Linked DNA regions of Mus musculus: all the other regions are reported to be linked to region 1. Evidence: microRNA targets listed by miRTarBase, many of them from high-throughput screens and not tested one by one. Region 1 holds a microRNA gene; each other region holds the end of a gene's coding sequence.
What was found. The annotated mature microRNA mmu-miR-467g reads UAUACAUACACACACAUAUAU and lies in region 1 at 2,966-2,986, opposite strand. An mRNA with a match to its seed (bases 2 to 7 or 8) in the 3' UTR can be bound and repressed. Matches are read on the target gene's strand: a 7mer-m8 pairs with bases 2 to 8, a 7mer-A1 pairs with bases 2 to 7 and ends in A, and an 8mer does both.

Region 2: miRTarBase lists Zgrf1 as a target of mmu-miR-467g. The part of its 3' UTR that is shown has no 7-base or 8-base seed match.
Region 3: the mRNA of Bub1 is a reported target of mmu-miR-467g. Seed matches in the 3' UTR shown: 7mer-m8 at 546-552.
Region 4: the mRNA of Tmem167 is a reported target of mmu-miR-467g. The part of its 3' UTR that is shown has no 7-base or 8-base seed match.
Region 5: miRTarBase lists Txlnb as a target of mmu-miR-467g. Seed matches in the 3' UTR shown: 8mer at 3,228-3,235.
Region 6: miRTarBase lists Tas1r3 as a target of mmu-miR-467g. Seed matches in the 3' UTR shown: 7mer-m8 at 3,129-3,135, 7mer-m8 at 3,125-3,131 and 7mer-m8 at 3,121-3,127.
Region 7: the mRNA of Rsad1 is a reported target of mmu-miR-467g. Seed matches in the 3' UTR shown: 7mer-m8 at 2,685-2,691 and 8mer at 1,438-1,445.

The regions. Positions count from the first base shown.
Region 1 is chr5:34,729,907-34,733,974 of GRCm38, forward strand. Mir467g (microRNA 467g) reads right to left here and starts at 3,066; the gene lies at 2,947-3,066. Grk4 (G protein-coupled receptor kinase 4) reads left to right here. Exons shown (of 16, transcript NM_019497.2): 10 at 99-136; 11 at 1,575-1,664.
Region 2 is chr3:127,616,075-127,620,142 of GRCm38, forward strand. Zgrf1 (zinc finger, GRF-type containing 1) reads left to right here. Exons shown (of 26, transcript NM_197997.2): 25 at 185-446; 26 at 593-1,949. The coding sequence ends at 729. Among named protein-coding and RNA genes, the nearest start is that of Gm40147, 11 kb to the right of the region's middle.
Region 3 is chr2:127,797,639-127,801,706 of GRCm38, reverse strand. Bub1 (BUB1, mitotic checkpoint serine/threonine kinase) reads left to right here. Exons shown (of 25, transcript NM_009772.2): 25 at 269-1,507. The coding sequence ends at 464. Among named protein-coding and RNA genes, the nearest start is that of Mtln, 7.2 kb to the right of the region's middle.
Region 4 is chr13:90,103,824-90,107,891 of GRCm38, forward strand. It overlaps Tmem167 (transmembrane protein 167), which reads left to right. Exons shown (of 4, transcript NM_025335.3): 4 at 552-4,068. The coding sequence ends at 622. Among named protein-coding and RNA genes, the nearest start is that of Gm24507, 6.9 kb to the left of the region's middle.
Region 5 is chr10:17,843,069-17,847,136 of GRCm38, reverse strand. Txlnb (taxilin beta) reads right to left here. Exons shown (of 10, transcript NM_138628.3): 10 at 1,474-4,068. The coding sequence ends at 3,657. Among named protein-coding and RNA genes, the nearest start is that of Gm20655, 9.5 kb to the right of the region's middle.
Region 6 is chr4:155,856,576-155,860,643 of GRCm38, forward strand. Tas1r3 (taste receptor, type 1, member 3) reads right to left here. Exons shown (of 6, transcript NM_031872.2): 6 at 2,693-4,068. The coding sequence ends at 3,611. It overlaps Dvl1 (dishevelled segment polarity protein 1), which reads left to right. Exons shown (of 15, transcript NM_010091.5): 14 at 39-245; 15 at 1,418-2,728. The coding sequence ends at 1,791. Among named protein-coding and RNA genes, the nearest start is that of Tas1r3, 4.7 kb to the right of the region's middle.
Region 7 is chr11:94,539,128-94,543,195 of GRCm38, forward strand. It overlaps Rsad1 (radical S-adenosyl methionine domain containing 1), which reads right to left. Exons shown (of 9, transcript NM_001013381.2): 8 at 3,754-3,857; 9 at 671-3,520. The coding sequence ends at 3,403. Among named protein-coding and RNA genes, the nearest start is that of Rsad1, 8.0 kb to the right of the region's middle.

The sequences.
Region 1 (4,068 bases):
CTACTGCTTTTTGCCATCAAGAGATCGCTGGCTGTTTCTTCTCAGTTCTCAGGAACTGATTTCTGAATAACAGATTTTTGTTGTTTCTTTCCTTGTAGAGACCTAAAGCCAGAGAATATCCTCCTTGATGATCATGGTAAGAGAGCCTTCCATGCTTAAGTGTAGGCTTGTCAGAAAAGCTAATGTGGACATAGTCAGTTAATAACGCAGACTGGAAACAATAACTAAAAGAAACTCTTTGGGATGTGTTCTTTAAAACACACACACACACACACACACACACACACACACACACACAAAAACCAATTGACATTGCCATCACCAGTACTTACACAAAAGCAGAGACTCCATATATTAATGATTAATGTTTTGAAGTAGGTGAAAATAAACCCCAAATGAGTATTTGCCCTCCTGTTTTTTGCTATTGACTCTATTTATTTTTATTCCTTAGCCCTCTAAACTTGGCGTGCTGCCCTCTATGCTGTCCCCTTATCATATATCAATTGTCACAGAGTGGGGGTGTAGAATGCTGTTATGGGGACTGGTCATGATGTGATAGCTCCTTATCAGCATCATGGGTGCCTCTGACATTGGTATCTCTGGATCTGAGAGTGAGCCCTATTGCTAGGATGCTGGTTGTATGTACACTAAGTAGGTTAGCAATTTGAGAAGGAGCTTATGATTAGTGATTCTTAATAGCTAAAAGGATCTTTCTGTGGAGTAGGAAACATAAACCAGAGCCAGAGTGATTCCTGGAAAGAATAGGCTAGTGTAGCTCATTACTGAAGGCAAACATGGGACATTATCAGACTTAGCTTTTATATTTACTTCTGCCACTGCTTTCTGCTCGTTACCTAACTTATGTACTGACCCCAATGAAGAAGAAAGGTGCTTGAAATTTCATTTATGGAATAATTAAGAAGTAATTTGACTGCTTCCAACTCTTAAACTTGTGATTTGTGCTGGGTTATGCTGCACTGGTATCTAGAGTTGGCATTGAAGGGAAGTGAACAAATTATATTGAAATACATTGAGTAGTTTACTAGGTGTCTTATGAGGGTAAGTCTAAATCCTATGATAGGGGTCCTTAGAAGAACACTTTCCATAATTAGTTACTTTCATAGGACTGTAGCCAACATTTATGCCTTCCTATACCCAAAACATTTGAACAGTACAGTTCTCTAAGTGAAGTAGCTTAACTGATAGTTATGAGTAAATAATAAATATGGTTCCTCTGGTTTTTATCTAGTGGTGATTTACTGTTAAAGGGCTTCTTTAGGTATAAATATAATTTCTTGCTGTTAGTGAAACTCAGTGTGCTATATGAAAGTACATTACATATGTAAAAGTTAAATATAATTTTTAGATATTGCTATTTTTAATACATTTTTGTGTGTTTTTATCACTAGGGATAGAATCACAAGCCTTATATATCATATACAAGGGTTTTATTACTGAGGTATATCCCCAGCCCTCATCAATACGTTTTAGATGGACTTTGCCTCGCAGTTATAAATTGTCACTAAAATGTTACTTTTCCCAATGATCTGTACTTTGTGTGTGAACCTGCACAGGACACATCCGAATTTCAGATCTTGGTCTAGCTATGGAAGTCCCAGAAGGGGAGATGGTACGAGGAAGAGTTGGTACTGTTGGCTACATGGGTAAGTGAAAGATGACTTTGGTGGACCTTATCCATACCTTCTAGGTGTCCTAGGGCTTAGAACCTAGAGGGAAGACTTAGCTTTTAATTTACTTTAAGTGTATGAACCTCATTAAGCCATAACAATAATGCTACATTAAAACATTAATTTAAAAAATATTTATATTACATTTATTTATTATTATGTGCATGTATCTGTACATATGAGTACCTAAGGGAGTGCATGTAAAAGTCAGACAACAATTCAAGTGGGTCAGTTCTCTGCTTTCACAAAATTCAATTAGTCAGGCTTGAAGGCAAGCACTTTTACCCATTGAGCCATCTTTCCTGCCCCTAAAATAGCACTTAATAAAGCTAATTATCACTCTGATACTTTATAAACAAACACAACAATTCAGTCTTCCTGTTGGAAAACAACAATTAGCTCTAAGTTTAATTAAAAAAACAAAACAAAACAAGATTTTGGGGGGTCAGGGGAAGCTGGGCATGGTGATCTATGGGATTAAAGGTGAGCACTACCACACACATCTAATAGACATCTCTCCCCTGCCTTTATTGTTATTTTGAGACAGGGTTTCTCTGTGTAGCCCTGGCTGTCCTGGAACTTACACTGTCGACCAGGCTGGCCTGGAACTCTGTCTCTGCCTTCTGACTGCTGGGATTAAAGGCTTGTGCCACTATCTCTGGCTTCTTTCCTTACTTTTATTAAACAGATTCTTTTCTCATACAGTATAATTTAAATACAGTTGAATACAGTTCCCTTCCCTCTGCTCCTCCCACTTGTTCCCCACTCTTCTCCATCCAGATATACTACTCCCTGTTTGTCTCTCATTAGAAAAGAACAGGCTTCTGGGAGATAACAAAACATAACAAAACAAAATATAATAAGATAAAATGAAAACTATCATATTGAAGTTGGACAAGCTAAGCCAACAGAAAAAAATGAAAGAGGCCCAAGAGAAGGCACAAGAATCAGAGACCCACTTGTTTACATATTCATAAATTTCATAAAAGTACTAAACTGAAAACTTTTATTTATATATATGCATATGTGCATGTATTTATTTATATATTTATAAATATATAAAAGTTATATATTTATATATATTATATATATTCCCCCGCAAAATGCTGGGACTAGATATCATCCAATTGAGTTGTCAACTGAAAGAGTATCATGGAAATCCCTAACAACCCAGGCTGTTACCAAGACAGTAGGTTGCTCTCCACAAACTGACAACAAGGCCTCATTACATTCATATATATACATGAATATACATATATATATATATACATGAATATATATATGTGTGTGTATGTATATATACATATACATGTGTATGTATGTATATATATGTATATATATATACACACACACATATATATATATGCATGCACAAGACCTGGTGCAGACCCATGTAGGCCTTGTGATTGATTGCTGCTTTAATTTCTGTGAGTTCATATGAAATTTGCCCAGTTGTTTTAGAGAACCTTGTTCTCCTGGTGTCCACTCTCTCTTCTGATTCCCCTATTCCTCTGCCTCCTCTTCTGAGGGGTTCTCTAAGCTCTCAGGGGAGGGATTTTATGGAGATATCTGGTTTAGTGCTCTCTCTCTCTCTCTTCTCTCTCTCTCGCTCTGTGTGTGTGTGTGTGTGTGTGTGTGTGTGTGTGTGTGTGTGTGTGTGAGAGAGAGAGAGAGAGAGAGAGAGAGAGAGAGAGAGAGATTTGGCTCTTTGCATTTATTGCCATCTGCTGTAGGAAAAAGCCCTTGTGGTGATGACTGAAAGGCACTGAACTGTGACTATAGCAGAATATCATTAGAAGTCATGTTATTGTTACTAATTTTTTTGACCAGTGATATTTGGTTATACTCTAGGTTTCTATGATATCTAGACTCTGGTTCTTGATGACACAATCAGTGTTGGGTTTGGGTATGGCTATGTAATAGGCCTTACGTCAAATCAGACATAGGCTGATTACCCCCACAGAGTTTGTGTCACCATTGTAGATCTAAGGATTTGTGGTTGAGTTGCTGTTTGCTTTTCTCTTTTGGTACCCTGCAGAATACTTTCCTATGTCATAGGCATTATAAAATGGGAGCAAAGGTCCTATGTAGGCATCAGATTGATCTTTCCATTTTCAATGAGTTGTGTAGGTATTGTCTTCAGCAATGAGCCCTTGTCAATTTGTGGAGAGCAACCAATTGTCTGAGTAACAGCCTGAGTTGTTTGGTGATTTCCATGGGACCTTTTTAGCTAACAGCTCAACTGGATTATACCCAGTCCCAGCACTGGAAGCTTCATTTAGTGACAAGACATGGCAATTAAGAGTTCTGACTCCCTCATTATTTGGAGACTTCATTTGGATTGCCTTCATATAGTTAGTTTTTACTGCACTAGATTTCC
Region 2 (4,068 bases), not on the chromosome of region 1:
TGATTATTCATCACAAATAATATTGTCATTTCCAATTTTAGATACTTTCTACCTAAATCCATGTGAGTCATAAGAAAGAAAGAAAAATATTCCTGAATTTACTCCTGAATGGTTGAACTGCCCAGTTTAGAGATGGAGTTTTTCCTGATTTCTGCATTTTCTGACCCTGTTTGTTTGTCTGCAGATTTGCAATTTACTCAGTGCTGTGGACGTCGGCCATCCTGATGTTAAAGCTGTGCAGGTGTCCACAGTGGATGCCTTTCAGGGTGCCGAGAAGGAAATCACTATTCTGTCCTGCGTGAGGACAAGACAAGTAGGGTTCATTGACTCAGAGAAACGAATGAACGTTGCTTTGACCAGAGGAAGGAGACACTTATTGATTGTAGGAAGTTTGTCCTGTTTGAGGAAAAATCGACTATGGGGGCGTGTGATCCAACACTGTGAAGGTAAAAAAAAAATGCAATTAAAACTGACTCAGGGGCGATTTGTAAGGAATCACTGGGCCCATGGCCCCTTGGGAGATGCCAGAGGGGACAGTAATGTGGAAGCCCCTTTTGGTAAGGAACGATTCCCGTGTTCTGTATCTTTTCAGGAAGGGAAGACGGATTGCAGCATGCAAGCCAGTGTGAACCACAGCTGGACCATCTTCTTAAAGACTATTTAGAAAAACAAGCAGAAGAAAAACAGAAAAAAAAGGAGAAAGAGAAATCAAAGGATAAATCTCATTAACAACGACAACAAATCTGGGCAAGGGTGTTTCTATTGTAAATTCAGAATCTTTTTGTACTTATTCTTAATGTTTTTCTTTACTCTAAAGTCCCTGATACAAACAAGTTTCATTACTTAAAATAATGTACTGAATAAGTGCATGCGAAAATGTGCTCTTTAAGGTGTGCTATACATTAAGATAGGCAATTGCAGATGCTTGTGTGACAGGCAGATATTTTGCTTGTGAAAGTAACAAGTTTTACAAGAGGCTGGAAACCATTCCTGAGATTATCTGTATGCATAAAAAACACACAACTGAGTAAAAAACAAAAAAACATAAAAAACCCAAAAGTCTGCGTGCTGAGCACAGCTCCCACAGTGGATTCTTCTGACAGACTGGAACCCGTGCATCGCCCCACCATTTTACAGCTAAAACTACTGATAATAAAAAGCTAAATAAAGAAGCACGAGAGGAAAGGTGGACACAGCACTGTCCTTTGCACTGCTGCTCGGTAAGTCAGGTTTCTTCACATCTCCTTGGACAGAACTTACTAGTATATATGTAGTAGAATAAATGGATAAAGTCCTTTTTATTCTAAAGCTAACATGTTCTTATAGAAAAATATACAAAATACAGATTATATAAAAGAAACCAAAGTTACTTAGAAATCCACTATTCAGATAATCATTAACATATTCAGTCTTTTTCTGTATATTCTCTCTATAAATATATACATGTAAGTTTTGAACCACTTGAGTCTACACGATTCTTAGGTATTGTTAATAAAGGAATATATTCATATCCAGGTAGAAAAAAATGTCAGTCTTAATCCTAATTGGTATTATTTTTAGCAAGGAAAACATTTAGGGACAACCCAAGTCATTTAGTATTTATTCTGAGAATCATTTTAGAAATTATTTTAAGAGTACTGAAAATTGTGTCCCCAGATTTCCTTGTAATAAAAACTTCCCAGTCTAGGGCTGGCAGGATGGCGAGGTAAGCAGAAGCACTTTGCTGCCAAGCCTGACAACCTGAGTTCAGCCCTGGATCCCCCACATGGTACATAGCAGGGCAAGCTGATCCCTGCAGGTTATCCTCAGACTCCACACATGCAGTGGCTCACAGCGCCCATCCTTCACAATATGCTAAATTAGTATAGTTTTAAAATGGTTATTTATGGTTATTTATTTATAGTTATAACGGTTATTTACTTATTAAAAAATGATAACTGTCTCTGGAATTCTTATGTGGAAAAAAAAGGTAATTCCAACCACACTTGTGGTAGAGCAGTGGGGTGTGTGTGTGTGTGTGTGTGTGTGTGTGTGTGTGTGTGTGTATGTAGGGGGTAAGGACCACCATGTATGTCCTTTGGTTGGTGATTCAGTCTCTGGGAGCCCCCAGGACTTAGGTTGGTTGACTCTGTTGGTCTTTTTATGGAGTTCCTATCCCCTCTATGTCCCTCAATTCTCCCCCCCCCCCACACTCTTCCATAAGACTCCCCAAGCTCTGTCCAATGTTTGGCTGAGGGTCTCTGCATCCATTTCATTTAGATGCTGGGTGGAGCCTCTTAGAGGACCAGGTATGGGGAGAGATGAGGAGAGAGGACAAGGAGAATAAATGGAAATTGACAGCCTGAGGGTGGGGGCACCTCTAGGACATACGAGAGACCTGGGATCCAGGAGTCTATGAGGATGACTCTAGCTGAGACTCCTGGCAGTGGGTGATATGAAACAAAGTGCAGGCACAAAGATGGAACAGAGACTGAGAGAATGGCCAACCAATAACTGGCCCAAGTTGAGACCCATCCCATGGGCAAGAACCAATCCCTGACACTGTTAATGATACTTGGTAATGCTTGCAGACAGGAGCCTAGAATAAATCTCTTCTCTTCTCTTCTCTTCTCTTCTCTTCTCTTCTCTTCTCTTCTCTTCTCTTCTCTTCTCTTCTTGTCTCTTCTCGTCTCGTCTCGTCTCGTCTCTTCTCTTCTCTTCTCCCCTCCCCTCTCCTCTCCCCTCCCTTTTCCCTTCTCTCCTCCCCTCCCTTCCCCTCCTCTCCCCTCCCCTCCCCTCCTCTACTCTTCTCACCTTTCTTCTTTGTTTATTTTGGGTTTGTTCTTTTTTCCTTTCTTTTTATTTATTTATTTATTTATTTATTTTTTTGACATAGGGTTTCTCTGTGTAGCCCTAGCTGTCCTAGAACTCACTCTGTAGACCGGGCTGGCCTCAAACTCAAGAGCTCTACCTGCCTCTGCATGTCTGTCTTTTAATTTTTCAGTTGTTTATTTTTATGTACATGATGGTTTTGTTTTCATGTATGTCTGAATACCACTAAAACCAAGACTATAAAATAAAGAAACAATGTGAAAGCTGTAAGAAAAGCACCAACTCCCAGAGGGGAGCTCTTGTTCTTGCGAAGTACCCAGGGTTTGATTTCCTAGCACCCACATCACTTCCTCAGGCACCAGGCATGCATGTGGTACAGACAAAGCAGTCATACACATAAATATAAACAAACAAACAAAACATAAAGTTTCTAGGAATAAACTTAAGGATAGAACATTGCGATGAAAATTTTACAACACAAGAGGAAAGAATTTGAAGACTCAAGACAGGAAAATCCCCTATGCTGATAGGGTAGCAGAATCAATATTTTTTTAAAGATTTATTTATCATTATATGTAAGTACACTGTAGCTGTCTTCAAGTCAGATCTCATGGATGGTTGTGAGCCACCATGTGGTTGTTGGAATTTGAACCTTCAGAAGAACAGCCAGTGCTCTTAACCACTGAGCCATCTCACTAGCCCCTAGAACTAATATTATAAAAAGGCTTGTCAGTGCAATCCTTATAAAAAAAAATTCCAGTGACATTCTTTAGAGAGTCTGAAAGAGCAATCCTAAAATCAGTATAAGACCACAAGAAAGAACAACAGAAACAACAAAAAGCCAAAACAGTCTTAGTAGAAATCTTGGTTCTGGAAGTACTGCAATCTCTGAGTTAAAAATATACCATAGACCACAGTAACAAAACTATACGGCACAAAACCAGACATGAAAATCAGTGGATTTCTATAGAGGACCCAGAAATATACCCATATGGTTCCAGCCAACATAACAAAGGTTCAAAAATATATATGAGAGGAAAGAGTTTGCTCAATAAATGTGCCGGGAAAGTGGATATTGATCTGCAGAAGAATAAAACTTGATCCATATCTCACCCTATACTCAAACCAACTTTTAAAAATGAATCAGAACTGGAGAGATGGCTCAACAGTTAAGAGCTCTGACTGCTCTGAGGACCTGAAGTCAATTCCCAACTACACATGGTGGCTCACAACCATCTCTACCATTACAGATGCCCT
Region 3 (4,068 bases), not on the chromosome of region 1:
AGATTATTCTTTAAAAAATAATTTTTCTACCAAAGAACTATTGCAAAAAGGCTATTTTAAATCATATTTTTAGAATAAGGTGTATTTAGACATGTCGTTGGATTTTTAATTTCTCCTGTTTGTGATGGATTCTTGATTTGCTAAGATACAGGTAGATGACAGTTGTTTTTTTAACATGTCCACACCTATACAAAGTAGATGGAGGAACTCGTTGCTATGAACGTTAAGGTTGCATTTTATCCATTGTAATATTTTGTCTCTTTATTAGGCTTCCTCATTTGGATATGTGGGAGGAATTTTTTCACATCATGTTGAATATACCGGATTGTCATAATCTTCCATCTTTGGATTTTCTGAGACAGAATATGAAGAAATTACTTGAACAACAGTATTCCAACAAGATTAAGACCTTGCGTAATAGGCTAATTGTGATGCTTTCAGAATATAAGCGTTCAAGAAAATAAAATGAATATGGACCTTCTCCAAAACACACTTAGTAAATTTAAACTCTCACTTTGAATCCTATTTTTTTCATACTTACTATTTATGTATGTTTAAAAAAAATAAAGCCCATATGATATACCCATGTGACCTAGTTGTTCTAAATACTCTAACAAACAAAGTAAGGAGACCCCTGTAAGCAGGCTGATCTATTGGGTTGCTCTTAGTATACAAATCTTCTTGAGAATGATTCAAATTTAGATGCTTTATAGAAGTTACCTCCCTGCCCCCAACTCCAAGACAATTTCTCAGTATAACCAGAGCCCTGGCTGTCCTGGACTTGGCTGTAGACCAGGCTGGCCTCGAGCTCATAGAGAACCACCCGCCTCTGCCTCCCAAGTGCTGGGGTTACGGGAGTAACCACCATGCCCTGCTAGAAATCACCTTTCTAAACACTGACCTATTTAAGTTAAAAGTAAGCCATAAAAAGAGTTATAAATTATGTTTAGTTAGCGTATGTAGGATTAGGTTTCCTTATGGCATTTTAAGAAAAAAAAATGTTTATTTTTCTTCCCCATACTTTTGACCCCCTTTGTTCTCTTTCACACCCCATAGCTTACTTTCCACTTCCATGTCTCATCTGTCAATGTCCCCTCCTCCTTTCTTAACATCTTTTTCCCTTAAGGTCTTTACTTTCTAACCCCATGTATTTTTATACAAATTTCATGGTGTACATCTGAAAAGAATTTTATTGTGTATGATTCCACATTGTCATTATACAACCATCAGTTGATTGATAAACATCTGGGCTGATTCCATTTCTTTGCTATTGTGAATAGAGGAACAATTGACATGGATGTGCAGGTTTCTCTTGTAAAAGATAGAATCCTTTGTGTGCCCTGGAGTAGGAAGCTAGTTCATAAACAGTTCTAGTTTTCTGGGGGTTTGTGTGTGTGTGTGTGTGTGTGTTGTTTTGTTCTTGTTGTGAGACCACCATACTGATTTCCACAATGACCATACTAGGTCGCATTTCAACTAACAATGAATAAAGAATTTCTGTTTACTCAAATGCACACTGACATTTTTGTCTCATGTTAGAGACATGTTCTGATAAGGGTAAGAAAAAGTAGCTTGGGTTGGTATTTATCTCATGGCTAAGTATAATGAATGCCACGCCCCTCCCCTGCTCTCTTTTTTATTTTTTTATTTTTTATTTTTTTTGTTTTTTTTTTTTTTGTTTTTTTTTTTTCCATTTTTTATTAGGTATTTAGCTCATTTACATTTCCAATGCTATACCAAAAGTCCCCCTTACCCACCCACCCCCACTCCCCTACCCACCCACTCCCCCCCTTTGGCCCTGGCGTTCCCCTGTACCGGGGCACACAAAGTCTGCGTGTCCAATGGGCCTCTCTTTCCAGTGATGGCCGACTAGGCCATCTTTTGATACATATGCAGCTAGAGTCAAGAGCTCAGGGGTACTGGTTAGTTCATAATGTTGTTCCACCTATAGGGTTGAAGATCCCTTTAGCTCCTTGGGTACTTTCTCTAGCTCCTCCATTGGGAGCCCTGTGATCCATCCATTAGCTGACTGTGAGCATCCACTTCTGTGTTTGCTAGGCCCCGGCTTAGTCTCACAAGAGACAGCTACATCTGGGTCCTTTCAGTAAAATCTTGCTAGTGTATGCAATGGTGTCAGCATTTGGAAGCTGATTATGGGGTGGATCCCTGGATACCTGGATATGGCAGTCTCTACATGGTCCATCCTTTCATCTCAGCTCCATACTTTGTTTCTGTAACTCCTTCCATGGGTGTTTTGTTCCCACTTCTAAGGAGGGGCATAGTGTCCACACTTCAGTCTTCATTTTTCTTGAGTTTCATGTGTTTAGGAAATTGTATCTTATATCGTGGGTATCCTAGGTTTTGGGCTAGTATCCACTTATCAGTGAGTACATATTGTGTGAGTTCCTTTGTGATTGTGTTACCTCACTCAGGATGATGCTCTCCAGGTCCATCCATTTGGCTAGGAATTTCATAAATTCATTCTTTTTAATAGCTGAGTAGTACTCCATTGTGTAGATGTACCACATTTTCTGTATCCATTCCTCTGTTGAGGGGCATCTGGGTTCTTTCCAGTTTCTGGCTATTATAAATAAGGCTGCTATGAACATAGTGGAGCATGTGTCCTTCTTACCAGTTGGGGCTTCTTCTGGATATATGCCCAGGAGAGGTATTGCTGGATCCTCCGGTAGTACTATGTCCAATTTTCTGAGGAACCGCCAGACTGATTTCCAGAGTGGTTGTACAAGCCTGCAATCCCACCAACAATGGAGGAGTGTTCCTCTTTCTCCACATCCTCGCCAGCATCTGCTGTCACCTGAATTTTTGATCTTAGCCATTCTCACTGGTGTGAGGTGGAATCTCAGGGTTGTTTTGATTTGCATTTCCCTGATGATTAAGGATGTTGAACATTTTTTCAGGTGCTTCTCTGCCATTCGGTATTCCTCAGGTGAGAATTCTTTGTTCAGTTCTGAGCCCCATTTTTTAAGGGGGTTATTTGATTTTCTGAGGTCCACCTTCTTAAGTTCTTTATATATGTTGGATATTAGTCCCCTATCTGATTTAGGATATGTAAAGATCCTTTCCCAGTCTGTTGGTGGTCTTTTTGTCTTATAGACAGTGTCTTTTGCCTTGCAGAAACTTTGGAGTTTCATTAGGTCCCATTTGTCAATTCTCGATCTTACAGTACAAGCCATTGCTGTTCTGTTCAGGAATTTTTCCCCTGTGCCCATATCTTCAAGGCTTTTCCCCACTTTCTCCTCTATAAGTTTCAGTGTCTCTGGTTTTATGTGAAGTTCCTTGATCCACTTAGATTTGACCTTAGTACAAGGAGATAAGTATGGATCGATTCGCATTCTTCTACATGATAACAACCAGTTGTGCCAGCACCAATTGTTGAAAATGCTGTCTTTCTTCCACTGGATGGTTTTGGCTCCCTTGTCGAAGATCAAGTGACCATAGGTGTGTGGGTTCATTTCTGGGTCTTCAATTCTATTCCATTGGTCCACTTGTCTGTCTCTATACCAGTACCATGCAGTTTTTATCACAATTGCTCTGTAGTAAAGCTTTAGGTCAGGCATGGTGATTCCACCAGAGGTTCTTTTATCCTTGAGAAGAGTTTTGGCTATCCTCGGTTTTTTGTTATTCCAGATGAATTTGCAAATTGCTCCTTCTAATTCGTTGAAGAATTGAGTTGGAATTTTAATGGGGATTGCATTGAATCTGTAGATTGCTTTTGGCAAGATAGCCATTTTTACAATGTTGGTCCTGCCAATCCATGAGCATGGGAGATCTTTCCATCTTCTGAGATCTTCTTTAATTTCTTTCTTCAGGGACTTGAAGTTTTTATCATACAGATCTTTCACTTCCTTCGTTAGAGTCACGCCGAGATATTTTATATTATTTGTGGCTATTGAGAAGGGTGTTGTTTCCCTAATTTCTTTCTCAGCCTGTTTATTCTTTGTGTAGAGAAAGGCCATTGACTTGTTTGAGTTAATTTTATATCCAGCTACTTCACCGAAGCTGTTTATCAGGTTTAGGAGTTCTCTGTTGGAATTTTTAGGGTCACTT
Region 4 (4,068 bases), not on the chromosome of region 1:
GGTAGAAATTCCCTTTATCTCAGGAAGAGAACTAACTAGCCTTTGGCCCTGGAGGCACAGCATAGGTGCTCTCCGGTACACATCTCATAAATAGCTTGGATTTAGTCGCTAGCCATGTCCATCCAGCCCTTTTACATTGAGACATGACATTGACATCTACATAGTACACACTTGCAAACTACAAAGTAGAGTTAGAATAATAATAATATCTCATGATGTGGCAGCAAAGTTCAGCAGGAAGAGGCACTAGCCTAATAATCTTGAGTTAAGTATCCAAAATTCATATCAAGTCAGAAAGAAAGAACCCACTCTGAAGTTGTCCTCTAACCTCCACATGTGCACTGTGGCATGATCACTCACATGAATACAGTACATCATAAGAATAGGTTTGGATTTGGGTTAGATCCCTTAAGTTTATTTCCTTGAGCTGAAGTTTTAATGTACCTTCTTGCTTGTTGTCTCTGGGTCCTTGTTTTTCCTCTCTTATAGCCTTATCATATCCATAGTAGTCATTCGTTCAACCAAGAGGAATGTCTTCTTTTCTTCAACAGGGGAACGCAAGAGTCCTTATGTCGCCATATGCTGTATAGTGATGGCCTTCAGCATCCTCTTCATACAGTAGCTTTGGAAACTACCAGCATGTGCTTGCTATCAGACTGTAAACAAGGACTTGCCTCCAGAAAATAATGGGAAGAATGGTTAAGCCATTTGTCTCTGAACATGGAATGAGATAAACTTCAAGATGCTGTTCTCTATTTTTATGCTATTGGACCAATGAGCTGAATGAATAATTAAGATGTAACAGTTCAATACACAGGAATGTGATTGTATCCATCAACCTCAGTTCTCTCACTCCAGTATTACATTCTGCAAATGTCATTCTGTTGTGTCAGGACTGCTTTTCATAAGGTTCTTCGGGCACGAAGTAGAAACCCAGTGGCAAATTCCAAGGCTCCTTTGACTAGGGCTTCAAAATAATGTCTTCACAGAATGGTACCTTCTAGCGACTGGCCTATTTTTATTGAGAAAAAAACTTGTTCTATTTTTGTTGTTGTTACTGTTCTTATGGATTGCATTCATATTTAAACCCTTTGGATTGCTAACCAGAGTACCTCTATTCTTGGCAAATTCCGCAGTTTATTACAGGTGTTTAAAGTATTTTAAACAAAACTCTGAATTTCTTTAGTTAGCCTAAGAGTTGGCTTCTAGTCACAAAGATACAGCTGCCACACTGTGACGAAGAGCACCTTAGAAAGAAAAGCAGCAAGTGAGCGGTGAGCAAGTAAGCACCGTGCAGTCTTCGTTCTCTGTAGTCTTGTCTTCCAAATAGAACGTCCATCGTAGTTACCCAAAGGTGGTATTTGTGGTGTTCTTAATGCAGTGCTTTAAGTCTAGTGTATGTTCTGTCAGCTTGAACTGGAATCTCTCTTGTAACTTTGTAGGTTATAAACATATCTCATATCTGCTTTAGTCTGGGTACTATGCTCTAAGTACATTTCAGCTTTGACACAGAATGTGAATAGACGAATATCAAAGGATACTTACAAGTTTGTATCCAACATTTCTTCAGGTTCAGCTGAAAATCAGTTACTGTTTCAAAACAAAGAGGAATTAAATCCTAGCTGAAAACTATACATAGCATTTATTAATTAATTACTGGGTTTAACTGCTCTTTTTAAAAGTTTGAAAAAGAAAAAAAAAATTTTTTTCTTAGAAGTGAAGTTTCTATAAAAACAAAGCCCTGAACTTGCAGTCTTCACTGTGTAGCCCAAATGGCCACCAGAGCTAGCTAGACCATCAGCTTTGACATCGTGCTTGAAGCTGTGGAGGACAGTGTAGTAGTCTAACATCTAGGAACGCCTACTTGGTTTGTAGAGGTTGCTTGTTTTTAAAAAGATTTTTGGGATGTCTGCAGCTAGTTAAAACTGGTCTATTTTTATGATAATTATTCTACTCTGAATTTCACCTTAAGCTTTGTATTAGGTCAAGGATTTTCACTGTGTCCCAAAAGTAGGACTCCCTCGTCACCATATTTGTGCACAGTAAGTAGTCACCTATCACTTTGATTTCTGGGTGGCCATCTGTTCATCATCACTAACAACATTTCCAGAAATGTTGTCAACTTTTTTCCTAAGTTAACATGCATCTCATATCAAAATGGAGAGAATAAGAATCATCTAATATGTTCTCTTTAGTTTGACATTTTAGACAATGTAGGTGGAAATTAGAGGAAGACATAGTTAACTTGAAATATGCATGGTAACATACAACTTTTCGCGGTATGTAGATACTGAGCAGTCTAGACAGGTATTTCTAGCCACTACCGTCCTGATCGTTTAAAGTACAGGCTCTTTAGGGGTGTAGGAAAGCTGCAAAGATAAAAGAATCATATAAAGAAAGGCAATTAGCATTTTTGGTGTACAAACACTGACTCCTGTTTTCTGAGCCACGGGGTCGTGTGGGAGGTGTGAAGCCCACAGAATATTTAGCTGTCTTTGTGAGTGGGGTGTGGAGGAGCAGTAAAGCACTTCGGGCAGCTGGCATCTACACAGACTGTAAACACAAAGCTTAGCGGGCGAGGAGCACTAAGACTCAGGTCTGACAATGTCCACATGTTCTCCCTGGCTGCCTTGTTGGCCCTAGAATCTTCAGTCCATGTCCCCACATTTGTTTTATGTTGCTGTTTGGTTTCTGATTAGCTTTATCTGGGCCATTGACAGGGCAGGATATGTCTTGCTTCCAGGTAGTCTTGCAAGATAGTCAAAAGGACACATGTCAAATTGGTCTTAATAGTTTTAAAAAGTTAAAATTCCAATATGGTGTCCTATTGATACCTTTTCTACTTAGGCTGGAAACTACCATATATGTTTCAATTCAAGGTGTTTCCTGCTGGGGTTAGTAAGAATATAAATTTATAATAAATTTGTTCATCTTCTTAATAAAATTAGTCTTGTACCATAGGGTGACACAGAGTTCCATAAATTAACTCTTCCAAGTTTACAAAGACAAACAAATCCTTGCCTCCATTTGTGAAAATTATTTAACACTTGTAAATAATATTTTTTTCAGGAAACATTTACACAATTGGTATGGCATGTGACCATTGAAAATAGATGAGTTGTTTCTCTGTATTCATAATGTACATGAAAGATGAAATTAATGTCTATGAAGTATAATGTGCTAATTCTTGTTATTGACATAATCCCAGGATTCTAGAAAAAAAAATGAAGAGTGATGATTCATTGAGGGTAGAACTTCTCAGAGATCATGAGTTAAACTGATCTTGACAGTGTTTTTTTTTTTTTAAAAAAAAAACAAAAAACAATTCTATGTTAGGGATTGTATGTCCCTTAGTTTGTGAGGTATGGTGTGGCCATAAAGGTCAACGGATGTTATATTCTGGAAAGTCATGTATTTTACCTACCTCAAAATTGAAGTTGAGATTGTCCCCTCCTGCCTCACAAATCCTTCAGGAAGATAATAAAGTCTCCCTTGGTTTATGAGTGAGCAAAGTTGACTAAGGAATACACTAGTAGATTCTCCTGAGACTTTTGTAAACATTGTAGAGGCAACTGGCCAGTCAAGGCTGTGTTTTCAGAAACTTGTAAAATCTCGTATTCTATCTGCTAAAAGCAGCCCCAGCTGTTAAAACAGGCACCCATCCCAAAAGTGCACAGTTTACATTTCCTGGACATACAGAAAATATTTCTACTTATCAAGAACTTAAGCTCCACAAAAGCCTTTGAGAAGCTACTCTGTCATTACTATCTGAAAACATGAATGGAAAATTCTTAGGGCTGCTCTTCTCTTCCTTTGTTACCTTCTAGTAATAATAAATGTTCTCAAACGGTGCTAGCAATCGCCCTTGTTACAGGGGGTCCTGACTAACTTCTGAGAAATAACTTCATATCATTTCCACTTTGCCCTGAACTAATTCCTAAATAATCTGACAGGCCATTTCAGTACCTTTTGTAGAAAGAATTCCTGTTTAAAAGAGGTAGTCGTCCTAGTCTCTGGTTAGTTCATACATCTGCTGTGTAATAAAAAATGAACTGTCAGAAGCCGTCT
Region 5 (4,068 bases), not on the chromosome of region 1:
CTACTCCTTAGCCCCTCCCCCTTCATAGCATGTATATGTATATCCTCAAAGGATTTATTACATATACATTTTATTTAGAAAGCCCAAACTCAACCAAAAATAGAATAATGCCATATTTTAATTAGGTATTCTTAAATCATGGGAAAATATAGCCCCCCCCCAAAAAAAAGGAATTAAAAAATCCCACACTTTGGTCTTCCTTCCTACTGAGCTTCAAGTGGTCTGTGATTTGTATCCTGGTTATTTGGAGCTTTTGGGCTAGTATCCACTTATCAGTGAGTGCATACCATGTGTGTTCTTTTGCAATTGTGTTAACTCACTCAGGATGATATTTTCTAGTTCTATCCATTTGTCAAAAATTTCATGAATTCATTGTTTTTAATTGCTAAGTAGTACTCAATTGTGTAAATGTACCATATTTTTTTTATACATTCCTCTTTTGAGGGACATCTGGGTTCTTTCCAGCTTCTGGTTACTATACAGGCTTCTATGAACATAGTGGAGAATGTGTTCTTATTGAATGTTGGAGCATCTTCTGGGTATATGCCCAGGAGTGGTATGGCTGGGTCCCCAGGTAATACTATGTCCAGTTTTCTGAGGAACCACCAAACTGATTTCCAGAGTGGTTGTACCAGCTTGCAATCCCACCAACAATGGAGGAGTGTTTCTCTTTCTCCATATCCTCACCAGCATCTGCTGTCACTTGAGTTTTTGATCGTTAAAATAGTTATTTGGTTCTCTGAAGTCTAACTTCTTGAGTTCTTTGTATATATTGGATATTAGCCCTGTATCAGATATAGGAGAACAAAATACTCACAGGAACAAATATGGAGATAATGTGTAGAGCAGAGACTGAAGGTAAGGTCACCCAGAGACTGTCCCACCTGGGGATTTATCCTGTATACAGTTACCAAACTCAGACATTATTATGGATGCCAAGAAGTGCATGCTGAAAGGAGCCTGATATGGCTGTCTCCTGAGAGGCCCTGCCATAGCCTTACAAATACAGAGGCAGATGTTAGCAGCCAACCATTGGACTGAGCATGGGGTCCCTAATAGAGGAGTTAGAGAAGGGACTGAAGGAGTTGAAGGGGTTTGCAACCCTATAGGAAGAACAACAATATCAACCAACCAGACCCCCCCCCCCCAGATCTCCCAGGGACTAAGCCATCAACAAAGGAGTCCACATGGTTCCAGCTGCATATGTAGCAGAGGTTGGCCTTGTCATGAATCAATGGGAGGAGAGGTCCTTGGTCTTATGAAGGCTCAATAGATGCCCCAGTATAGGGGAAATGAGAGCAGGGAGGTGGAGTGGGTGGGTGGATGGAGGAACACCCTCATAGAAGCAGTGGGAGAGAGGATGTGATAGATTGTTTCTGGGAGAGAGGGAAACCAGGAAAGGGGATAACATTTGAAATGTAAATAAAGAAAATATCCAATAAAAAATAATTTAAAAAACCTACTAGAAAACTTGGAAGAAATGCCTTTTTAATTGGTATAAACATTATGTTATTACATTTAGAAAGCAATAATTCCAGTGTTTCTAGAAAGACTTGGCATCTCTAAAAATAGTTATATGAACTTCATAAAAAGAGATATATTTTCTGCTTTCAGATCTTATGAGTTGTTATGATTAGTACAGCCAAGTTTGAACACAAGGAACTATAATAAAACATTCTTTTACTATTAAAATAATTCTCCCAAAGTCTATATTAAAGCTTTACAGATTTCAGGGAAGGTGTAGTCTGTGAAACTGTGCCAAAGGTACACACAGTTGTGAGTGATATGTTGCTGTGAAACCCTCTTGGATGAAAATAATAAACTTTGGATATGAGAACACTTAATTTATTGGATGTCAGTGCCTCCTGCCTGTTTGTCTTCCTAAGCTCTTGGATTGAGACCTAACTGTGATGATCCTACTCTGTTCTTTGAAGCTCAGCTCCTGTAAACAGAGAGAAGGGATTAGTGTAGTGAATATTTGGCTTTGAGTTAATTGAATGTCTAATTTCCAGTGGTGTTGAACTTGGCTGGATACCCGTGTGGTTATAATATGCAAAGCCTCTGAAAACACATGGGTTCTCAAATAATGGCATGCTTTTTCCCCTGATTTTTTCCCCAAATGGTATTTTTGTTCTTTCCCTTACTGTCTACTTCAAATAAATTTTATACAGTTTTATAATTCCTTCAACATATGGCTACTGCCTCCCAGCTCCTCGTGTGCATTGGCAAGCAGCCACGTGCACCACTGAAGAGTGATTTCCTGGATGAGTTTTCAAGAATCCTCCTTTATCCACATTTCTACCTGTGTTCAACTTCTTAACATAGAGTTAGATTAGACCGTCCTCTCTTTATGCACCTTCTGTCTCCCTCCTTCCCACCTCTCCCTGTTCTGTTAGTACAGTTTTCTTTGAGCCTAGGCAGAGCATTTTATGCTGCCAGTGTTATTAGAGGTTTTTGCGAACAATGAGAGTATAAAACTTGTTTGGGTAATCCCAAGTGCTTCTTGCTTTTGACATCTATGGAGTCCTTGCCTGTTATTTTTGAATTATGAGTAGGAGGCCCCCCCCCCCTTTTAAAAATTTTGTACTTCTGCCTGTTCAAAAATTCTTAGAGCAGAAAATGTGTTAGCTTTGTAAGCCTTGTTACTCCTATTGAGAGCTCGTATGTATTTCCGTTTTGGAAAAATACATTTTACTTAACATTAATTGAGATGTGGGCCAGGCACACACATTGACGCAAAGGAGGAAATTTGGAAGGAATAGATGCTTTGAGATAAAGACAATGTCAGAGACAACAAAAAGTGTTTTCTTGAGATATCAGTAGTCAAAGAGGCTGAGACCTCTAAGCTGAGGATACTCAACCTCTCAAATCTTACTTAGGTGCTTTCTCTATTTCCAACCACCTTCTCACAGGTAGCCAGGAGGCGGCTGCCTCAACCCAGGAGGTGATGCTGGGAAGTTGGGAGGAAGTTGGCTGAGAAGATCAGAAGCACCTGTTTGTGTTTTTTCCCCTTTCTGTTAAAAGCCTCTTGTGGTCCTCTTTGTGTCCAGGCATTGTAGCACATGTGCTATTTCTGATCCATAGAGCTTTAATCTACTGTAGTCCAGAGTGTAAGTAAGATAGAAAAATTTTTACAAGCATATCTTGCAATAGAGAAAAATCTGTTAGGAGCAAAATATACTTGTGTGATGACTTTATATGCACGTATGAAAATACATGTGTATGTGTATACATAAATGTATTTATGTGTATTGTGTATACACATAAGTACACTGTATATTATGCTATTTAAATGGAACCTGGATATCCATTATAGATCTTATTGGGTTATTTGTGGAAATAAATGTAATATTTCAGTGTATTTATTTGTTATAGTGGGAGTCCTTAAATACAAAATCTTACTGCTAACAAACTGGATTAAGGCACCAATGTAATGGGAAAGTAATGTATATTTGCTATTGATGTGTTTGGCTGCCAAATCACAGAGAATTTCCATATTAGTTATAAATTGCAAACAGCAGCAAAGACTGGAAGTGTTCTGTACAACTTTAAAAATGTCTTGACTCTAACTCTTCCTAGTCCTAGAAGTTTCTTTCACAGACTTTCTTCTGTGAGGAAGATGCAGTCAGGTGAGCAGCCAGAAGAATCAACAAGGCTTAGTCTACTCCATTCAGACAAGCATCGGGCTCTCTGGGGAGTCCAGTGGAAGGGCCTACGGGGATGTCTGTGACTTCTGGTGGGGGCTGCTCCCTAGACTCACAGCCGGGCACCACAGCAGAATCTCCCTCACTCTCTGGAGATGGTGAAATATCATATTTTGCCTCTACTACAGATAGGGAGCCCTGGGCTGGGGACAGTGGGGCCTGACCAGAAGTGTTTGCCTCTGGTTTATGGGGCTTCGGACCCGGGGTATTTTCTGCAGGGAGACCCTGACTTTGTAGCTCTGCCTCTGCAGGGGTACAGGAGGCTGTAGGGGCAGGTGTGGCCTCACAGACGCCCTCCGCCACAGCCTGAGCACCTACAGGGGGCCGAGGACTCCCTGAATCAGCGGGAAGGCTGGGATGGTTT
Region 6 (4,068 bases), not on the chromosome of region 1:
TGCCTTCACTTACCCCTCCCTCCCTCCCTCCCTGCCAGACCTCGCATCCCTGAACCTCAACAGTGGCTCCAGTGGAGCCTCAGATCAGGACACACTGGCCCCACTGCCCCACCCATCAGTACCCTGGCCCTTGGGTCAAGGCTACCCCTACCAGTACCCAGGACCCCCGCCCTGCTTCCCGCCTGCTTACCAGGACCCTGGCTTCAGCTGCGGCAGCGGCAGTGCTGGGAGCCAGCAGAGTGAAGGTGAGAGGCGTGCCACCCCTCCTCCCACTCCCTCCCACTCCCACGCTCTGCCTGGCCCCGACGCTTCCCTCTGTGCTCCTGCTGTGTGTTTGAGTCCCGGTGGGTTCCATCTCAAGAGTCAGTGTGTGGGACAGGGAGGGGCTGATGTGGGTAGAAGCCGTTAGAGAATAGGAAGACAGCCTGGTGTGCTAGGTGGCAGAGGCAAGAGGCCAGGAGATGATATGGCAAGAATGAAAGTAACCACTGATAGCAGGTAGGGGCACTCTCTAGGCCCCAAGCTAGGGGGAGAATGGGCTTTATCAGTTATGGAGCCTGCATCCCAACAGAGTGCCAGATAAGAGTATCAAGCAACACTGTTAAAGCATATCAGTGTTAAAGCATATCCCAGGGATATTGAAGATCTTGAAGGGTGGGTGTCCCTCAGGAGGAGATGGACTGATGTGGAGGTCTTAGGCAGAGTGGGGCACACTTGTGCTACAAGGTCCAGAGAAAGACTCAGGAGAGGTTGGGCCAGAGGGTGGCAAAGCCCAAGGGGAAGCTATCGAGTGAATCCTGACCATGGACAGGCCCTTGCATGTACCCAGGCTCAGCTTGGCCCAAAATCGTCCTATTAGCCATTGGTGAGCACTGGACTGGTGTGTGACTTGTGCTATCCCTTGCTTTGTGCTGAGCAAGCCTTAGACTGAAGGACTAGCAGAGTGGACTCTCGGGCCGGTAAGCCAGGTCCCCCTGTGTCCCTCTCAGCATGTCCCCAGCCAGCACGTGTTTTCAGGTTCCCACTACTTTCAGGACAGGGGCTAAGCAAATTAGATGACCAGGGTCCTGGGGTTGGGTGGACCCTGGTTGGGTCTTTGGGTGGTGAACCCAGGATGGCTAATGGGAATGCTGGGCACACAGGGCCTTCGCTGGTTTTTAGTTTCTCAGCTGTAACATTAACCCTTGGTTCAAGCATTGGGGTTAGGTGTGGGGTGCCAGGCTGGCCCCTGTTGTCCCTGCTGTCTGCCACTGCCCCTAGCTTCTCGCCTCTCAGCTGTTCCTGGTATCTGCATGGCTGCCATTCCCCTACCATCTCCAGGCTTACCAGGTCCTGCCCTGACTGTCTGGGAGCAGCTGGTGGCCCTGGAAGTGGCCAGGCCTCGTGCTGACTCTGTTGTCCCCTTCCCTCCCCCTAGGGAGCAAGAGCAGTGGGTCCACACGGAGCAGCCATCGGACCCCAGGCCGAGAGGAGCGCCGGGCAACTGGAGCTGGGGGTAGTGGCAGTGAATCAGACCACACAGTACCAAGTGGGTCTGGTAGCACCGGCTGGTGGGAGCGGCCTGTCAGCCAGCTTAGCCGTGGCAGTAGCCCTCGAAGTCAGGCTTCAGCTGTTGCCCCAGGGCTCCCCCCACTGCACCCCCTTACAAAGGCCTATGCAGTAGTGGGTGGGCCACCTGGAGGGCCACCCGTCCGGGAGCTGGCTGCTGTCCCTCCAGAACTTACAGGTAGCCGCCAGTCCTTCCAAAAGGCCATGGGAAACCCCTGTGAGTTCTTTGTGGACATCATGTGATGATCAACCAATGTCTTCAGCGCTGCCTGTGGCTGAGTCTGTGCTCCTGCTGTGCCAGGAGCTCTGCGCTGGCCGTGGTGGTGGCCAGCCAGGATAGATCAGCTGTGGGCTCTGGGCCAGGGCAGAGGGAGCAGGCTACAGAGGAGGGCCTGAGGGCAGCCATACCACCAGGATATTGGCTTGACATTTTGTCTGCTCTTGGGGCTGCTGATGGTGGTACAGCTCAAGTATCTATAGAGTCTTGTAAGGAGACATCTCTGACTTTAAGTCCTCAGCACAAGTCTCAGGGACCACCTCCTGGTTCCCTTCTTTGGAAGTGACCTCCATTTAGAACAAGAAAGGCTCTCTTGGGCTCTTGGTACCCCTTGCCCCAAAGCCTCACAGAACTGTGCACAGGGACACAGGCTGACTGTCGCTAAGTTCATGGGCCTCACCTGTCAGGCCAAGGTGGGATTTTTGAGGGGTTAGACAGAGCCTTCAAACCTCTCTGGCTGCCCAGGTGGGGTCTAACTTATTTATTTATTGCTAGCCTGCCTGCTCTAAGGGTGGCAGCTAGTTACCCAAAGGGGCAGTTTGCATGCCCCTTTCCCCACCTGCTACTTGGCACATGACAACACAGTTTGTACTGAAGGTATGTGAAGGGTAGCTAGTAGGAGAGACAGGAGAGAGACCTGGCACCTAGCCACTGTCTCAGTCTCAGTGGTGGGTGACAGTGAACACAAGAGCTGCAGAGCTGGGCCCTGTTCTGTTTCTGTTCTGGTGGCTGCCCATCATCATGTGCCACTGCCATCCCGGCACAGCGGCCCCACACATCTACACTAGACACTGTGTCAAAGTCTGAGTGACTGGGTAGTTGACATAGAGCTGCTTCTGTGTAAATGCTGCTTCTGTGTAAATGCTATTTTAAACACTAAAAAAAGCGTTTAATTTTATGGGACTGATGTGTGGCTTGTTTCTCTTTTCTCCAGCTGAGCTGCTCCGGGATTCAGGTGTGGGGGCCAGTCCAGAACTGACCCGGGTCTGATCCTGCCTGCAGATGGACGATGCTCTTGTCCCTTGCCGCTTAGGCATGTGGCTCTGTCCCTGGTGCTGGCCAGTAAGGGGCCTTGCGGCAACTTTTCTGTCCTTGGTACTAGAAGCTGATTCCAGGGGTCCCGCGTGGCTGGCGCTGGCCGTGGTGCTGACCCGCACCCTGTGTGTGATCTGTCCAAGGTGCTGGCGGCGACCTGGTTCTCTCCTACAGGCTAGGGCTCAGCTAGGGATGGAGAAGGCTGGATGTTGCCTACCTCCTGAGTGTCCTCTGCCTGATGTCTTTCTTGTTCTGTCCTGATACATACATACATACGTACATACACACACACACACACACACACACACACACACACACACACACATACATGCCCAGCCTTCTATTCCTGGGACGCCTGGACAGGGTGCTGAGTGAGGGCTCAGGGCTGGGCATGTTCAGGCAAGCAGTACCTTCTGGTCTCCCATGGTCTGCCTGGGGAATTTCTGAATTCAAAGTATGGCTATGAAGTCCCAAAGAACCTTTTGTGGGTCACCTGGGCAGGCCTTAGGTGGGCATAATAGGATCAAGGATAATCTTGCTTTGAAAGGATAGGTGGGCTCATAGGGTCCATCTTGTGCACTGCAGGCCTTGGGGGTTTGGGGAAGGGGTCACTGTGAGGCTAAGGTCAGTGGAGTCCAAGTCTATAGTTAAGTGTCTCACGTCTCAGGCTGAGGTACTATTCGGGGCTTGTTGGCTTAGGAGATTTCTGGTAGGGCTAGGTTCCCTAAAGGGAAGGTCACGGGTCAGTGGTCATTCATTGTGTCCCTGAGCTGCCTCACCACCGCCACTGTTCTCATCTGCTGCTTTCTTGGCATTCCTTCCCAGGAAGAACTCCTGGGTGTTGAGCTTTGGCAGCCAAAGAAGCACATAGCACTTGGGCAGGTGGAAGGTGACCAGGATGCCCAGGGCACAGACTAGGATAGCACCCATCTGCACAGCTGGCTGGTAGGCCACCTGCACATTGGCCAGGAGGGGCACAAAAGAGACCCAGGTGATGAAATAAGCTAGCATGGCGAAGGTGAGACCACGGGCACGGTTGTAGCGGCCAGGCTGGCTCTGTACCAGGAAAGTGCCCAGAAAGCAGAGGAAAGCTAACATTGCATTGGTGATGTGCACCAAGCCCAGGCTGACCCAGGAACGCACGTGGCAGTGCTCCAGTACCTCTGTGGGCAGCACTGACCAGTCTGTCACCACCTCTGGTGGGAAAG
Region 7 (4,068 bases), not on the chromosome of region 1:
CACCAGCTGCTCTAAGCCTAGACTCACCAGGGCTCTAGGGGTACAAGATTTGATAAGACAAACACCTTTCGCCTTCTTTCTTCCTCTCAGCCCCTCAAAACCCAGTGCCCTCCAGGCTCCCATAGCTGTCTGAAACACCTTAACCAGCAACGCTTTATCTCTGAACATCTGTCACCGCAGCATCAAGCTCCCTGAGAGCACAGACAGGTCTTATTCCTCTGTTCATGCCCAGTACGGTGCCTGGCAGACCACTGGTGCTAGGTGAGTAGTTCATGAATAAAGTAACAGTTACCACGTTACCACAGGGTCAAAGAAGGACTGGCATTCACACCCACCGGCACATGGGAAATACACGTGCTTACTCCTAAGCAGTGTGGGGGATCCCCTGGCCTTTCATCATCCACTAGAAGTCAGCATGCTTCCACCTGCAGGGTTACTAAATCACTTCTGGCACCGTGGTACCCTTTGCCACGATAAGGAATTAGTTAAGGAGCTTTAGGCTGAGAACGTAGCTCAGTGACAGGTCCTGAGTTCCAGCCCTAGCACAATGAAACAAACCACACACACACACACACACACACACACACACACACGCATGCATGGCATGGCATACAATTTCCAAGTCAAGAATGAAAGGTTGGAAGTGCCTCAAGGAGGAGCTACGCAGGTCTGTCTTTTGGGGTAAGAGATTTATTAAGAGAATTATCAGTACCACAGACACACAGGCACAGCGGCACAGTGTACAGTAGCGGGAACATTCAAGCCCCAGTGTCATAGACACACAGACAACATGGTAGGGTTCTGAAGAGGATCCAAGTTCCCCAGGGTAGAGTGGGGGGCCCCTTCCTATAGATCTCAGTAGAAGGGGGAGGTTTCACATCACCAGACTGTCTCTGATTCCCCTGCAGGCGGCAGGGGAGAAGAAAAAAGGTCTTGCGTTATCAGGAAGAAATATGTCCCTCTGAAGAGCAAGGACACATCTAGTTGAGACATACCCATTATGGCAGCGCCCCCCCCCCCCCCCCCGTCCAGGGAGTCTGACAACCTAAGGTCTATTCGATGGGATGAGCCTGTTACAGGGTTAGGAATTTACAGGTTTGAGATTCCTACCATAGAAGGAGGTTGTCTGGCTTGAACAAGGCCATAGGTCTGATTCTTAACATTGTAACAATAACAGAGGAAAGTTCTTTTTTATGGGGAAAATGGAAAATAATTAATTTGGAAGGAATAATAGAATCAGAAACCAATACTTTGCAATCCTCAATTTAAGAAATGATTTGGCTAGGCTGGAGAGATGGCTCAGCAGATAAGAGCACAGGGTGCTCTTCCATAGGTCCTGAGTTCAATTCCCAGCAACCACATGGTTGCTCACAACCATTTATATATAATCTGATGTCCTCTTCTGTCATGCAGGCATATATACAAATAGAGCACTCATATACATAAAATACCTAAGTTTGAGGCTGGAGAGATGGCTCAGTGGTTAAGAGCACTGTCTGCTCTTCCAGAGGTCCTGAGTTCAATTCCCAGCACCAATGTAATGGCCCATAACCATCTATAGTGTGATCTGAGGTCCTCTTCTGGCATACAGGTGTACATGCAGATAGAGCAATTGTAGACATAAGTAAATGTTTAAAAATACAAATGTAAATTTTAAAAGTAATTTGGGAAAGAATCACTAGTAGGTGCTAAAGTCACTGGTCAAATGATTATCAGGCGATGGGACATTTGGTCTCATGGTCTCAAGCCAAGATAATGAACTCCTTAATTTCAAAGGAAAGATGCAGCTGTGCACTATTACCCTCGGGGCTGGAGAGATGGCTCAACAGTTAAGGGCACTTATTTGATCTGGCAGAGGACCCACATTCAATAACCAGCACCCACATTGTGGCTCACAACCATCCGCAAGCCCAGTTCCAGGGGATCCAACAGGCACACGCATGGTGTGCACATTCAAAGGCATGCACACAAAATACTTAAATAGTAAGAAAGATAAATCTAAATTAAAAAAATAATAATACTGAACCTGATAGGGTTGGGGATTTAGATAGTGGTGTTTGCCTCAGCGCATGAAGTCCAGAACCACAGAAAAATGGGTGTGGTGGTGCATGCCCGTGATCTCAGCACTCGGGAGGCAGAAGCAGGGGGTCCGATGCTAAACACTGTCCTCAGCCACACAGTGAGTTTGCAGTGTCGGGTACATATGGCACTGTCTCAGGGGGAAAAAAAACCCCACAATCTTTTACATTCAAAATAGAAGCTGGAGAAATAGCTTAGCAGGAGAGAGTGCTCCCTGCTCTTCCAGAGGACCAGAGTGTGGTGCTCAGAAAAGATGGCTCACATTCATTCCTCTGTAACTCTGTCTCCAGAAGATACAACACTCTACTCTGGCCTCCATGGCTGCACGCACACACGCGCGCGCGCGCGCGCGCGCGCGCACACACACACACACACACACTTTAATAAAATGTGGGCAGTATTGGTGCAAGCCTTTAATCCCTACATTCGGAAGGCAAAGAAAGGCAAGCAGATCTCTGAGTTCTAGACAAGCCTGGTCTACAGTGTGAGCTCCAGGACCAAGGCCACACAGAGAGACCCCATCTTGAAAATCCAAATAAATAATAAAAATGAAAATAATGTTTAAAACTTTGAACCTGAATTCAACCCTTAGGAAATAATGAGACATACATAGAGTATAGGTTACATTTCTGTACAACAAGTGGCCTTGGATAAAAATATTTTTTTTAGATTTATTTCTTTTTATTTTATGCATATGAGTGTTTTGCCTAGATGAATATCTATGCACCACACAGGTGTCTGGTACACGAAGAGGTGAAAAGAAGGTGCCGGATCCCCTGGAATGAGAGTTACTGATGGTTGTGAGCTGCCACATGGCTGCTGGGACTTGAACCCTGGTTCTCTAGAAGAGCAAACCACCAAGCCATCTCTCCAGCCCTTCAAATGGTTTTGTAAACATCTTGTTCCTATATTTCTTCTGTGTAAGGTACCTGGAGGGGATTTAGTTCTACTGAACCATACAAGCTAGGGCTTCTCTCTAGAATGAGGCTTCTCTGATAGATACAATTCCCTGTAGAAAGATTTTGTGTTATTTGGTGTCCAAAAAAGTCAACAAAAGCCAGTGGCGGGGGGTGGGAGTGGGGTGGTGAGGACATCCTAGGCAGGGAACACTTGCTGACCTGTGACTCCTGGGATGCTGTGAGGGATACCAGTCCCCAGAACAGAGGCAGCCGTCCATCCAACTGACCACATCCATTCCCATGGGGGTGTCAGAGCCAAGCAATAGCACCTCAGAGCAGAGATGGCACCTACCGGCAGATGCCCACCATCTGGCCCAGCCCTCTAAGTCCAACTGGTGCTTCCTCATGATACAAGGATGTCTGGTCATCCTCCTGACACGGGTGAGGAAGGCCTGTGCTGCCAGGCCTCTTGGAGTTGAGGTAGGAGGGTCAATAACAGGGAGTCCAGCACAGCTAGGCCCTCCCAGGAACACCGGAGACCCCTGGAAAACCGAGAGGTCTGGATATGACTCTAACTTTACCATAAAGGCCCATTCCTGCCCACCCCTGGCAGCCCATGCCCTCCTCTATTGGTCTTTCTTGTTTCTACCACTCTGAAAAGGAGGGGAACATTTAGTTGTGACACACTCATTATGGCAGTCCTCCCACGCCCCAATCTGTAGTCAAGAGCTCCCAGGGTCTGTGAAGCCCCCTCCGCACAATATTCCCAACATACCTGTAATCCAGCAGCAGCAGACCCTGAGCTAGCAGCTCCTCCACCTCCTTGCTTGCTCCAAACACGTCCCACAGGGTCAGCTGGGGCTCAAACTGCTGCCAGTGCTAGGAATCAGAAGTCAGTGCAATGAGCTGGCCGACACACACACACACACACACACACACACACATACACACACACACACACACACTTGGATTTAATGTGAATAATAGCTCAGTGGTAGAGCACCTGCCCAGCACAGAGCTCTACGTGCAATCTTTAACTGGCATACAGCACTACCCACTGCCTCTGTCACCAGACTTCAGTTGGCCAGGT